Linked DNA regions of Stegostoma tigrinum. The protein of the gene in region 1 interacts with the protein of each later gene in a pairwise test. Links are inferred from orthologs where the notes say so. Each region holds a gene or a part of one and is shown on either strand. Other genes may lie near its edges.

Region 1 (7,800 bases):
AAAGATAAAATGGTTCGTCCATCTGACTATATAATTAATTACTCACAGGACCTTCATCTATGAGTTTCACTCTATGGTAAGGTCAGAAATGGAGCTATTTGTTGATGATTGCAGTGTTCATAATTCCTCCATAATTATAAAATAATCTATGTCCATGTGTAACAAGATCAAGACAACAAGCAGACGTTGGTTTTGTCATGGAAAGTAACATTCATGCCACACAAGTTTCAGGTATTGTCCATCTCCAACAAGAAAGAACCATCTCTTTTTTTACATTCAATGTATTACTATCATTGAATACCCAACAATCAACATCCTGGAGGTTGCTATTGACCAGAAACTGAACAGGACCATCTACACTAATACAAAAGCCACACAGCAACGTAAAGGCCAAGTATTCTGCAGCAAGTAATTTGCCTCTTGACTCCCAATATCTTCATACCACTTCATTCATAAAGTCAGGAGCTATGGGATACAGGGTGATTTGGCTGTCTGGATTCAGAATTGGTTGGCTGACAGGAGGCAGAGAGTGGTTTTAGGTGGTAAGTATTCTGCCTGGAGGTCAGTGCTGAGTGGTGTCCCACAGGGCTCTGTTCTTGGGCCTCTGCTCTTTGTAGTTTTTATAAATGACTTGGATGAGGAGGTTGAAGGGTGGGTTAGTATGTTTGCTGATGGCACAAAGGTTGGAGGTGCCGTTGATAGTATCGAGAGCTATTGCAGGCTTTAGCAAGACATTGACAGAATGCAGAGCTGGGCTGAGAAATGGCAGATGGAGTTCAACCTGGATAAATGCCAAGTGATGAATTTTGGAAGGTCGAACTTAAATGCTGAATATAGGATTAAAGGCAGGATTCTCAGCAGTGTGGAGGAACAGCGGGATCTTGGTGTTCAAGTGCATAGCTCCCTTGATCGAGGTGTACAAGGTAACGAGAGGCATGGACAGAGTCGATAGTCAGAGACTTTTCCCCAGGGCAGGATTGACTGCCACGAGGGGTCATAGTTTTAAGGTGTTAGGAGGAAGGTATAGAGGAGATGTCAGAAGGAGGTTCTTCACCCAGAGAGTTGTGAGCGCATGGAATAGTTTACCAGTGGTAGTCGTGGAAGCAGAGTCATTAGTGACATTTAAGCGACTGCTGGACATGCACATGGACAGCAGTGAATTGAGGGGAATGTAGGTTAGGTTATTTTATTTTTGGATTAGGATTATTCCACGGCACAACATCGTGGGCCAAAGGGCCTGTACTGTGCTGTACTTTTCTATGTTCTATATGTTCTCCATCTCCCAAAGCACAAGTCAGGAGTGTAATGGAGTACTCTCCATTTGCCTGGACGGGTGGAAGTCATGGGTGATTACTTCACTGAGAACCTGAAGTGGAAAGCTAATCTACCTCTCAATTCAAATTATATTAAATTTGTTTGAAACAATGTGAAAGGTTCTCGCGTCATCTTTCTGAAATTGCCTAATTTACACTATCCGAAACTCCCTTTTTGCAGCAATAATGAACCTAAATTAACAGCAGACCAAACAATACTGGCTAAAAGGTTCCAAAACTCATGATTCATCCCAACAGCTTGATTAGCTAGTAAACAGAAATATCTAAGGTTTTGGAGTAGATCTGTTGCTCGCAACGGACCCCAGAGTTTAAAAACCAGGTGGGAAAACACACCTACGCTTCATCAGAGGCTGCACTGAGGATGTTACCCAGCAGGGTAACAAAATGTCTGTGGAACAACAAACCAGCTCGGCGAGCTAACCAACCTCATAACAGAAGTGATATAGGGAGTTTTTAATTAGGTAACCTTTTGACTCGCTCTTCAGTCCAGAATCTATCTCTGCCTTACAAATATTCAATAATCCTGATCCTACTGGTCTTTTGGAAAGGTAATTTCAAACTATGACCCTAAGGGAAAACCATTCTCCCCACCTGTCCTAATGATGATACTATATGACACTTTTCATTGTATTCTGTAACAAAAAACAAGACAATAAATAAATAAATCAAATAAAGGGGAGAACCTTGTTTTAAAACTGTCTCCTAGCTGTAGTCTCTCCCACAAACAGAAACACTGTTGTAGAATCTACTTGTCAAACCTCCTTTGGATCTTATATATTTCAACAAAATCACCTCTAATTCCTCAAAACTCCAATAGATACAGGCCCAGAATGGTCAAACTCTTTCTCAAAGACAACCCCTCCATTCTAGAATGAATGAAATTGTATTGTTATGGTCCCAGCTGATGTTAATATTGGACAAGTCAGATCCCAGAGCTTAACCGGTCCAACATGTATTTTTAATTTGTGGATGTCAGTTGCTGAACAGTGATAACAATTTGCAACTGTAGTCTTAACACAAAGAATAAAAGGTTTATTAAAACAAGAAAAAACACAAACTAAAATATATAAAAAAGAAGTTTGGAATGATTTCATTCCATATACTGAAAAGGATTCAAGCTCACACTAGTTTCTTTTTATGAGGTTGTTGACTTGCTTGTCGAGCTGGTTTGTTTTTGTTCTGATGTTTTGTCACCATGCTGGGTGACATCATCAGTGGAGACTCCAATGAAGCGCTGTTATTCTACTCTGCTTGAAATTTATACTATCTGGTCCATTATGGTGAGTACTGTCATTTCTGGTTTTGATCTGTACGGGTTTATATATGGGGTCCAATTCTATACACTTGTTGATTGAAGTATGGGCGGAGGACCATGCATCTAGGAATTCCCGTGCATGCCCACTTCAACTGATGGCCTTCGTTGTCTGCATGTACAGACATTAAGGAGAGTTTATTGTGCTGTTTTTCTGCCAGCTGATGTTTGTGTGTTCTGATGGCTGGTTTCCTTCCTGTCTGTCCTATGTAATGTTTGTGGCAGTCATTGCATGGTATTTTGTAAACCATGTTTGTTCTGTAGGTTGTGGGAATGGGGTCTTTAATTCTTCTAAGTGTCGGAGAGTGGCTGTGGGCCACCATGATTCCTAGTGGTCTTAGGAGTCTTGTTGTCAGTTCCGATATGTTTCTGATTTAGGAAAGTGTGGTAAGTGTGTTAGGTCATACTGTGTTCTCCTGTTGCTGTCAGTTATGTAGGCATCTGTGGCTGAAGTTGCAGGGACAATTCATTTGAAGCGAGGATCTTGTATAAGTGTTCTTCTTCTTCCGGGCATAGTTTTGGAGTGTTACACTGTATCCTGATCCATTTAAACTGTGTCCTAATGCAGCTTTATTTGTGGACATTGGGGTGGTTGCTGTGATAGTTGAGGATTTGATCTGTATGGGTTGCTTTTCTGTATACTGAGGTTTGGAACTCCGCATTTGTCGGTCGTTCTACCTTAACATTCAGAAATGGAAGTTGATTGTTTGCTTTTTCTTCCTTTGTGAATTTAATCCCTGTAAACACTCTGTTGATGAGGTGGCAGACCTCTTCTAATATGTTGCGTTTGTCCACAAACAAAGCTGCATTAGGACACTCAGACTTATTACTGTCTTTACATCCAAGTCTCTTGATAAGGCTGACACATTCAGTTTCCTTCTGCCAAATTTCAGTGCATTAACTAAATGCTATTTCTTCAGTAGGTATCTCTCCCCAAGACACCTGAAACAAACTGCAAACTAAATTCACTATTATTTTAACAAACATACAAGTTCTCTAAACTCTTGTTTCCAGCAATTTTGCAGGATTTCTTACTAGAGGTTAACACTCCTATCTCATGTGGTCTCTCACAATGCCTTGCATAACTTTAATAAAAAGGTCCCAACTTTTATATGTTCCATCCTGCTTGCAATAAATGACAACATTCCATTTGCCTTCCCAGTCATTTACCATACCACGTACCAACGTTTGGAATTCATGTACTAAGATACCTGGATTGCTCTGTACCTCAGAGCTCTGCAATCTTTAATACATTTAAATAGGATGCTGTTTTTCTCTACTGCTTACCAAAGTGAATACATTCACTTTATCTCACATTAGATGTCATCTGCTATTTTTGTCCACTCTGATAACCTGTCTACGTCCTTTTACGGCCGATTATGAGGTTCACAACTTTTTATTCCCTATTTTGGTGTTATCAGGAAATTTAGCAACCATTCACCTCATCTTAAACTTATCTGAGTATCTTAAAAACTGGGATAATACATTCTTTTTACAAAACATACTGTCCACACGTAGTTGAAACAGTTGAAATTTGGAAGTATTTTAAAACATGAATGCTTCCATCAATTTCAATTCAGTTTAAACAGTACTCAGTGCTACATATAATATAGACACAGTGATCAAGTTCAGACAGTGCACCCCGAGGACAAAGACACAGTTTTCCATTCAGAGAGAATGCTGGAGTTGGTCAGGCAGTCTCTGTTTTGGGGAAGGAGGATAGAAGAGAGAGATTGAACCTTCCACGTGGCTGGCCTTTCTCCTAAAGAGATCTCCCTCGGGCTTGGTTGTGGGATCCAACTGACAGTTTGGAGTTCGCGGGATCAGGACAGGGAGAGGAGCCCACATCCCAGTACCCGTTACCTGATGGACAGGAAAGGACAGTACATCCGTAGCCACCTCCTGCCCCCGGTACCGCCCGTTCAAGGTCTGTATCCGCTGGTCGTCCACACAGATCAGACCCAGGTCGAATCGTGCGAGGCCCAGAATGTGGAGCAAGGTTTGAGTGTCCCGCCGGAGCCGGGCCCTACGAAGCTGCACCACTTTCTGTGCGTTCCTGATCACCAGCGCCATCTGGGCCTGGATTCTCCATGGCAACCTGAATCAGTCGGACCGGAAAGGAAGACGAGAAATAGCTGCACCTGCATTTTTTTTTGTTCCGGGGAAGGTGACCGGAAGGGAAGGAAGAGGAAACGGACGGTGTTTATGCTGAGCGGTAATGGTGGCGGTGTAGTGAGTTTCATTGCTGGGATCTGGGGTTTCGTGTTTGATGTTTGAAGCCAGGCGCACTTAGAAGAGCTGATTCACTGAGGGTGGTGCCATGGATCCCGCGGGCAACTTTCCCCCTCCCCCCTTCTTCCAGAAAGGGGACAGCGGTTTTCAGGGCCAGCAGGATGCTCCTTTCTCCAAGGCGGGGGAGGTGGGAGGTCCACGGGCTCCATCCATCCTTGGTCCCTCCTTTAGCTTTAAACCTCACGGCACCTTTCCGGCTTCTGTAAACTTCGGCGCCCCGATGGGCCCCGCGTTTGGACCGGCCGAGAGCTGCTTCCGAGGGTTTGGGAAGCCGGACGCCCCAAGGCCGCGGGTTGGAGGGCTAGACAACAAACTGCCGTCCAACAAGCGGCCCTCGTTTCACTTCTCGCAGCCGCTGAGCAGCGGGGAAACGGCCCTCCTCACCGCTCCACAGTCCGTAGGCGGCCCCTCCTTCAGCTTCTCCCAACCGACCAACAGTGGGACTTCTTCTGGCCTCTACAGGATGCTCCGGCCGACGGCCACTGTCAGTTTGCCCAGCACCTTTAGCTTTTCGCAGCCGGCGGCTATGACCAGTGCTTCCGGAGGTTTCCGTTTCGTCCATCCCAGCCCCGGCAGCAGCTCAACCCCATACACCTTTTCTCAACCGAGCTCGTCCCCCTCGCTCGGTCACTCTGCATCCAACAAGAAAGTAGCTTGCGAAGAAAAACAAACTCTGAAGCCAAGCTTCGGAGGGACTGATACAACACCGCAGGGCTGTCGTGAAGGGAGACGCAGTGCAACGGCAGCCACTGCAACCCCAGCAACGTTTGGGCTCACTTCGAAGCACGAGGGGCAGGCGGGACAGCTGACGCCCAGGAAGGGGATGAAAAGGAAAGACAAGCGAGACAGATCACCATACCAGTTTGAATACAGTCCTGGTAAAGAACCAGCCTCAGTGCCCAAACACAGTCCGTCTCCAAGGAAACGGCTGTCGAAAGTTACGCCATCACTGGGCGTCTTCAGTCGCACTCTTCAAGATGTGTTGAAGGGCAGTAGGAGGGAGTCTAAAAGAGTCAGCACATCTTCAGAAAGTGAAACGATTGAAAAGTTAAAGCTGCTGTCTGAGACAAGCATCCCTTTAGAGTGGCCTGCGCGATTGAGAAAAGAAGAACCAAAGAAGAGAGTTAGAGATGGTGAGTAGAAATGTGTGGGGAGATGTCATTTTTGAGATAAAGACATTTCCTTGTACAAATGGATTTTCTTTCGATTGTAAGATCTTTCCTGTTTTGATTCAGTGAAGCTACTTCAGTTGGAGCAAAATTCAAAATGGCGCGAAGTGGAACTGTGTTCTTAGAAATTTCTGGGATAGAAATTCTTTGCTATTTCCGCCCTGCCTCTCCTCAAACCACAAACCAAAATGGGCATGTCTTTTAGTGTCTCATTTACAATGCAGCTGGAGCTCAGCAGAGCAGTACAGTGCAGTATCAGCTGAATTTAGGAGCTTAAGGCATGACCACAAAATAAGCTTCTATATGAACATAGGCCCCCTTAGAGAGTTCAGACTGTGGAAATATTAATAGGAAATCAGGAAACGACAAATAAATTGAATAAATACTTTCCATCAGTCTTCAGGGCAAAAGACATAAACAGCATTCCAATATTACCTAATATTCAGAAATAAAAGGAAGATAGAAAAGAAGTACAATGTGGGATGGCATGGTGGCTCAGTGGCTAGCATTTCTGCCTCATGGTGCCGGGGACTCGGGCTCAATTCCAGCCTTGGCTGACTGTCTGTGTGGAGTTTGCACATTATCCCCCTGTCTGCATGGGTTTCCTCCGGGTACTCCGGTTTCCTCCCACAGTCCGAAAGTGTGCAGGCTAGGTGGATTGGCCATGCTAAATAGCCTGTAGTGCTCAGGGATGTGCAGCTTAGGGAAATGGATCTGGGTGGGTTGCTTCAAGGGTGGGTGTGGACTTGTTGGGCTGAAGAGCCTGCTTCCACACTGTAGTGATTTTATGATCTATGACATCTTATAGCACTGATAGCAGTCTTCCAGGAATCAAGAAATGCTGGAAAAGCAAACTGCCATTGTAATATGTTTATTCAAAAAGGGAAGGAGACAAAAAATGGTAACTTTAGAGAATTAGCTTTACATTTGTTAGTTGGAAAAATATTAGATTAATACAGTCAGGTTACGTGAGTGAGCAAAAACTTGGTAGATGGGATATAATATGGGGAAATGTGAGTTTGCGCATTTTTGTAGCAGGAATACAGGAGGTTAATAATATCATTTTAATGAAGAAAGACAGCAGAAAGCTATGGATCAAAAGGATTTGGGAGGCCTTGTGAATTAATCACAAGAACGTAGCAGTCAATTTCAGATGATAGGAGAACAATATAGAACGTTGGCCTTTTAATTCAAAGAGAATAAAGTATAAAACTAGGGAAGTCTTACTAAAACTATGCAAAGCATGTGTCAGACCAAACCTGGAATACGGAATAGTTTTGCCCTGCTTATCTAAGGAAAGATATACTGGCATTGGAAGTAGTCCAGGGAAGGTTCACTAAGCTGATACCGCATACGGAGGAGATCTTGATTCAGTTGGAACTTTATTTGGAGTTAAGATGAGAGGTGATCTGATTGAAACATAAAAGATTCTTAGAGGTCTTGACATGGTAGATGCTGAGAGGTTGCTTGTCTGTATAGAAGATTCAAGATTGGAGAGTATGATCTTGAAGCAAAGGATTGTCCCTTGAGGAGAGAGGTGAGGAACTTTTCCGCAGAAGGGTCACTAGACTTGAAAACATTAACTCTGTTTTCTCTCCACTGTTGTATGAATATGTTGAAAGTGGGTTGGATGGCTAATGAGAAGTGTTAATAGATTTACAATCATGAAGGAAATCAAATGTTATGGAGAAAT
Region 2 (6,933 bases), on another chromosome or scaffold:
AAAACTCTCGAACATTGCTACCTCAGCATCGCTGATGAAAACAGGTCTGTGTCCTCCATTCCACTTTGTGAAGTCAATGACCAGCTTCTTCATTTTGCTGCTGGTGATGGAGAGATTGTTGTCTTTACATATGCTGTTAAGCACTCTATCTCTTTCCTGAATTCAGCCCGCATCCCTCTAAACCCTTCCTGTTCATGTACCCATCCAGATGCCTTTGAAATATTGTAATTGTGCCAGGCTCCACCACCTCCTCTGGCAGCTTATTCCATACATGCACAACTGTCTGTATGAAAAAGTTGCCACTCAGGTCTCTTTTAAATCTTACCCCCCCCCCCCCCCACCTTAAACTTATGGCCTCTAGTTTTGGATTTCCTTACTCTGAGGAAAAAGACATTGGTAATTCTCCCTATCCATGCCCCTAATGGTTTTATAAACTCTATAAGGTCACCCCTCAGTGTACAATAACAGATGAATGGACACTGTGCAACAATCGCCAGACAGGAATCTTCCCTCCCAGTGGCAGAATATTTTAGCAGTCAAGGACATTCAGCCTCTGATCTTTGGGTAAATGTCTTGAAAGTGTTGTGAAGTTGGTGTGAGTAAAATTGTAAAATGTGTCATTCTTTTAAAAGATTGTTGTTTTTCAGTGCTTAGAGTTAAAATGGATGACTGACAAGCACCTTGAAGTGGAGGTGCACACAGAAAGAGCTTCCGAATTGAAACATTTTGTATTAAACAGTCAAGCAGCATGTTTTGAGAAGATTTGTAGCTCAGGTTGAGGTTCTGGATGTGAGATTGCTCGCTGAGCTGGAAGGTTAGTTTTCAGACGTTTGTCAAGCAGCATTTCACCAAGACAACAAGTCTTTTCAAATTTAGCCAATTAATTTAAACTAAGTCCTTAGATACTAAAATATTGTCAAATTTAAATCTGGTGGTGTTGACAGCATCGACCACTTGAGAGAGAGAGAGAGAGAAAGAGAGAGAGAGAAATTGATTGTCAGAATCATCTATGTATTAGATGAAGCACCATCTATCCTAAAACAGTACCACGGCATTTCTAGCTAAAAAAAAACTCACAGAAGCAATTACAGAGAAAAACATCCCTGACAGCAGAATCAGTGAAAGATTAGATTCCCTTCAGTGTGGAAACAGGCCCTTTGGCCCAACAAGTCCACACGAAAGACATTTGTGGCATAATCAGGAAGGCAGAGCGTTCCAGAAGACACAGCTTACACAAACTTGGACAGACTATGTTTTAATTTATTACTGCGTTATTAAGTGGGTTTATATAAGTGGGACTTGTGTTTATTGAATAGCATTCTATTAGAATTTAGTTTATTAAGGGAATAGTTAGTCTGGGGGGAGGGGAATCGTTCAGTTTGTTAGTACTTCTCTTAATTTGTTCATTGTTAGAGTTGAATAAATAACTTTTTTTCTTGTGGATCAGGGATTTTCTTTCTTTTAATCACTCTTTTAACAGAATATGAGGGGAAAGGTGAGCTTCTCTGGGAGTTTTGGGGGTAATTATTAGAAGGGAACCTCTACTCCCATCATAACTGATTGGGGCTTGTGTTTTGGTCTAAATATCAGCAGAGATCAGCCATTCTCCCTCCATAAGAATTCGGGGGCTTGTCTGGGATCTGGATGGACTTGGACAGCTCAATTCTGGCTTCTGGACAAATTTGGACAGATCATGTCCACAATCTGGCTGTTACATGTGGTGGGGGAAGAACCTGAATGGATTTGGACACGTTTAAACAGACTTGGGGATTAATGTCCTAGATCTGTTCCCTGGGATGCTCACTGCAATAAACATCACCTGTACCTGAAGGACCATCAACTCAGTGAAAGCTGCTCTTTGGTTTTTTGCACTCGCCACACGGTGTTTCGCCCATATATCCCACAAAGGACTGTGAGTGGACTCTAAGTAGTGACATGAAATGATCTTTATTAACTATAATACCATAATAACAATTATGCTACAAACTAACAATTAATACAATAAATCTGGCAAGTAATACTGGAAATCTAAATCAGAATCTTGTAATTTAACTTAATTTGGAATGATCAAATATCACCACACTAAACCTTGGCTTTAATACACATGGTGATGGGCATCTGGTCTTCATCTTCCAGTGATTCCAAGGGCAGAGGTGCCCTTACAGCAGTTGGTCTCAGGTTACTGCTCCCAAGGGTGCTGTTGCAGTGATTCTTGTCCTTGGAAGCCTCTGCAACCTTTTGGGAGAATCTTTGATTCCCAGCAATGGATCAATCAAGAATCAATTACCCTGATTGATCAGACCCAATCAGACAGTACCATGCAAATGGTGGTGTGGCCTTTGGTCTTCCATTTCTGAAAGTGTTAGGGGTACATAAATCAGGTAGGCTTCCCAGATATCAGACTGAGGTGTCCCTTTATTCTGGAAACAGCTCATTATTTTCTATTGTCCTGGTAAATAGGCTTAATCAATTGCAAATTGTACCACCTGCAGCTGCAGCCTGCCTGTCTGCGTCTATAGGTTGTTTATTTCAGTATCTTTGCACAGATGCTTCAGCCAATGCTTGGCTTGATTTCCCAGCATGTTTGGTGTATTATCCAATACTGCCATTTTTTAGTGGCCCGTTGGGCTACAGGTACGCACGGACCTTGTTGATCCTGACCGAGTGTTGCAGACTGGCACATTCCAAGGTCCAGGATTATGTGCTGAGGGATGCACACTAAAGCTTGGGGAAGCTGCTGTCAAAGTGTCGTGGGGGAAGAGCATGGTCTGAAGTCTTCCTGCTGAAGATAAATGAGAGTCCATTCAGTTAATGGATCCTCCCAGTGTGCCAAATATTTGTGAATATTGGTATTGTATGTGTGAGCAGTCTTTGAATTTGCGTACAGTCAAACTGCAATGTTTTGTACAGGAACAAAAACAAAGTTGCTGGAGAAGCTCAGTAGGTCTGGCAACATCTGTGAAGGAGAAAACAGAGTTAACGTTTGGGTCCAGTAGGCCACCAGTGACCTACCAGACGCAAAATGTTACCTCTGTTTTGTCCTTCACAGATGCTGCCAGACCTGCTGAACTTTTCCAGCAACTTTTTTTTTGTTCCTGATTTACAGCGTCCGTAGTTCTATTTTTATCCAATGTTTTGTATTTTGTTGACATGCAGCTGTGCAGAACTCCTAAGATGCTGTTTGGCCTGCTGCGTTCATCCAGCTCCACACTTTGCTATCTTGGATTCTCCAGCGTCTGCAGTTCCCATTCTGTCTGAACTGTTTTTGTGTCAGTGTATGTATACAAACTTTATGAATAAAATGTAGCTTTTTGCAATAAAAAAAGAGATTTCACTTAAACATATTGGGCTGTAACCTGGTGTCGTGTGACTTCTGACTAAGGCAGACCTAGTCTATTATTAGAAACGTGAAACCCCTGACCATTACAACCCTTTAACTCTGACTTTGAAAGCATCTATCGCATTTGATTACAGGGAGACTCGGATCCTTTGTTGCGTTAGTCCCTTTAAATAGGCGGAACCAGAGACCGGGGCGGGGTCCGTCTCAGAGGCGTGGTCTATGGCCAGGGCCGGGCCAATGCCGTGGAGGAGAGATCAACGTCGGGGGCGGAGCCAGTGTTCAGGGGCGTGGCCGTCGCACAAGGGACATGATACAGTGACCAAGGGGCGGGCCCTGTATCCAAGGGCGGGGCCAAGCGTTCAGTCTCGGCTTCAGTGCCCATAAGGCGGACCCTACGTCCAAGGGGGCGGACCCTATCTCCTGGAAGCGGGCGGGGTCTGTGTCCATGAGGCCTGGGCTGGCGGTGACGGGGCGGGGCAGTGCGTGTCAATGTGACCGCGGTGCATTCTCCGATTGGTCCGGGGTTTTTCGCGCGGAAGCCGGTCCCACGTGACTCAGTTTGGCGGGAAAGCGGCGGCGGTGAAAATGGCAGCGGTGGAGGATCCGGCTCTGAGGGAGGCTCAGAGACAATATCTGGACTTTCTGGATGATGAGGTGGGGGCTGTGGGGGAATAGGGGTCAACGCCGGCGATGAGTTTGGGGGGGGGTGCGGGGTACTGGGCTGGGTGCCTACCCTACTCCATGGGCATGTGTTTCCTATACCCCTCCCCGGGAGGGTGCGACCACTCGGCCCGTCCGCCTTGTTCACCCTGACCCTTCCACCCCACTTTGCACACCACTCCCCCATTTCGACTCCCCTTACCCAGCCCCTCCCCCATGCCCACTTCCCCTCCCTTATACCCCACACAAACCATCCCCTTCACCCCCCTCCCCGACCCTCATCGCCCCCCCCACTTCCACTCGCCACCTCACCCTCCTCCCCCCGCTACTTGCCGTTCCACTTGCACGCCCCCACCCCATTTCACAACCCTCCACTCACTTCTGTTGTGCTTCAGGTGACCCTTTTGACCGTCTCCTAGCTTGAAGTAAAACAAACAAGTACAGCTGCTGCAGATCTAAGACGAACAGAAACCGAATTTGAAACTCAAAAGGCTGAGTACATCCGTGGGATGAAAGCAGAGTTAATGCGTTGAATCCGGTGACACTTCATCCAGGGCTCCTGCCTTCTGATTTTTATTCCTGTATCCCTTCCCAGTTGCCAAGCAACATCCAGCGGTGTTTACCTGACACCTGCTTCCCTTGGTTCATAATTTGACTCAAAATGAATGTTTGAAATGAAGTATACATGAGTGCACACAAACGAGGAGCAGAGGAGGCCACTCAATCCCTCAATCTGGCTCTGTCTTTCAGCAACATCAATGCTGATCAGATTGCTTTTTTTTCCCGGCTACCTGCATAAACACTTCTTCTCTCCTCGCTTATCAAGTAGCTGTCTATCCCAGCCTCAGAAAGATTCTGAGTTATTCTGTCACCATGCTGAAACCAACATGCAAAGAGACCAGAAATGTAAACAGAGTGTTGAAAAAACTCAGCAGGTCTGGCAGCATTAACATTTTGTGTCTGATATCTTATTCAAGAGAACCTACAGCATGTGATTTGCAGCAGTTTAAGAGGGCAGCTCACCAACACCTTCTCAAGGACCACTAGGGACAGGCAGTAAATGCTGGCCTGGCCAGTAATGCCTATATCTTACAAGTGAATTTCAAAAAAACAGTGGTTCCAAAGATGCTGCCAGACCTGCCACGGTTCAACAGCATTTTGTTTTTATTTTATTAATTGTGCACCTGTTCTTGGGTGAAGCTGCCCCTGACATAACCAAATCAGTCCAACTTGAAAGCGGTCACCTACATCAGAGATGGTTATATCCCTGATGGTGATTTAATCAGTTGCTTTGATAAGCTTTTAAAGAGTAAAGGACCAGTTGAAAGAATTTCGGGCTAAGGTTTTTTGCATTCTTGCCAACAGCAAGACCAGGGGATTTACCAAAGTAAGGTGAGGGACATGATCAGTGACAACTTGTACCGACTGATTGTCAACATCAATGACCTGCGCAGGAAGAATGAGAAAAGAGCGACACAGTAAGTACCTTGCTCAGATAACAAGGTGTGGAGCTGGATGGACACAGCAGGTCAAGCAGCATCAGAGGAGCAGGACAGTTGATGTTTCAGGCCTACACCCTTCTTCAGAAATGCGTCTAGGCCCGAAACATCGGCTTTCCTGCTCCTCTGATGCTGCTTGGCCTGCTGTGTTCATCCAGCTCTACACCTTGTTATCTCAGATTCTCCAGCATCTGCTGTTCCTACTATCTCTGAAACAAGTACCTTGCTCACTTGTCTAACCTGAACCCACTTCACTTCCACAGTCCCCCTTTACTGTATACTGCTCTTGCCTGATGTTAAAAATCTTGCTAAATAGGACTTTAGTGTGCCTGAGCATGCTCTGCTGTTCAGTGCGATAATAATTGATTTTCATTATCAACTGCCACTTTTTCTTATCAGGGTTTCATATTCCATTACTCCATCTCAGTACATAACAAAGCAGTTCATGCTCTCTTGGGCAGCTTTCTGACACTTTTCTCCATGGCATTTAGAAATGGACAATAAATGTTGGCCAAACCAGCAGTGTCCACATCCTGTGAATAGTTAGGGGGGAAGTAAAACAAACTCCAGAGAGACTCAATCCCCTGAGTGAGGAACTTTCTCATCTGTTTGAAACATATTTTAAATGTGCTCGAGGTGGCGGAATGATCATGAAGTGTATGTTGTTGGATTGATATGGATGTTCCAATCTCTTGTTCCAAGAGAGGTACAGCACCCCTGGAGACAATTCAGCCCCTGCTCTTTAAAGGATCAATCCATTAAGCCACAGTAGTCAGCTCTGTCACCACCATCCTGCAAACATTGAATAGATATCTTTTTGGAGCTATCACTGAATCTGTAGGCATCACCTTTGAGTGCATTCCACGTCAAAGCTCACTTTTCTCTTAAAAGAAACCTCCTCATGTGCCCTTGGTTCTTTTATCATTCTAAATCTGTCATCTCTTGTTACTGACCCTTACTTCCCTCACCACTGGGGGTTGAGGTAGTATATCTTTAACATTTGAAAACCTGTTGCAGATACACTGAGCCAGTTAACCTTTGTCTAATTTTCTCAGACTGCTGAGCAATTCCTTTGAAGAACTCCTGGCCTTCCAGCGAGCGCTAAAGGACTTTGTTGCCTCAATTGATGCCACCTATGCCAAGCAATTTGAGGATTTCTACATTGGACTGGAAGGCAGCTTTGGATCCAACCATGTCAGCCCACGGACCTTGACCTCTCGGTTTCTCAGCAACGTTGTGTGTGTGGAGGGAATTGTGATCAAATGTGAGTCTGATTGGGTGAGACTGGGTGCTGCTCTGTGTTTGCATTTTGTTTTGTTCGTGACTTCGGCGAACACTCCTTGCAGTTGGTTCTCATTGATTGAGGAAAATGAGGTTGTTAATAGACAGCTTGTAACTTAATGGTGTATTGTGAGAACTGTTCACCTGTGGTAA

What was found. The genes of interacting proteins can lie anywhere in the genome.
Region 2: the proteins of mcm3ap (region 1) and mcm3 interact in a two-hybrid assay, tested with the Homo sapiens proteins (2 studies listed by BioGRID). The link is inferred for Stegostoma tigrinum from reciprocal best matches to the Homo sapiens genes MCM3AP and MCM3.

The regions. Positions count from the first base shown.
Region 1 is NC_081360.1:6,017,169-6,024,968, reverse strand, and holds the start of mcm3ap (germinal-center associated nuclear protein), read left to right. Parts: upstream 1-4,768; 5' UTR 4,769-4,966; coding exon 4,967-6,071; intron 6,072-7,800. Other genes in the region: endoribonuclease YbeY-like, read right to left, coding at 4,510-4,719.
Region 2 is NC_081362.1:96,838,727-96,845,659, forward strand, and holds the start of mcm3 (DNA replication licensing factor MCM3), read left to right. Parts: upstream 1-3,884; 5' UTR 3,885-3,925; coding exon 3,926-3,994; intron 3,995-5,365; coding exon 5,366-5,478; intron 5,479-6,554; coding exon 6,555-6,763; intron 6,764-6,933. UniProt on the Homo sapiens protein: Acts as a component of the MCM2-7 complex (MCM complex) which is the replicative helicase essential for 'once per cell cycle' DNA replication initiation and elongation in eukaryotic cells.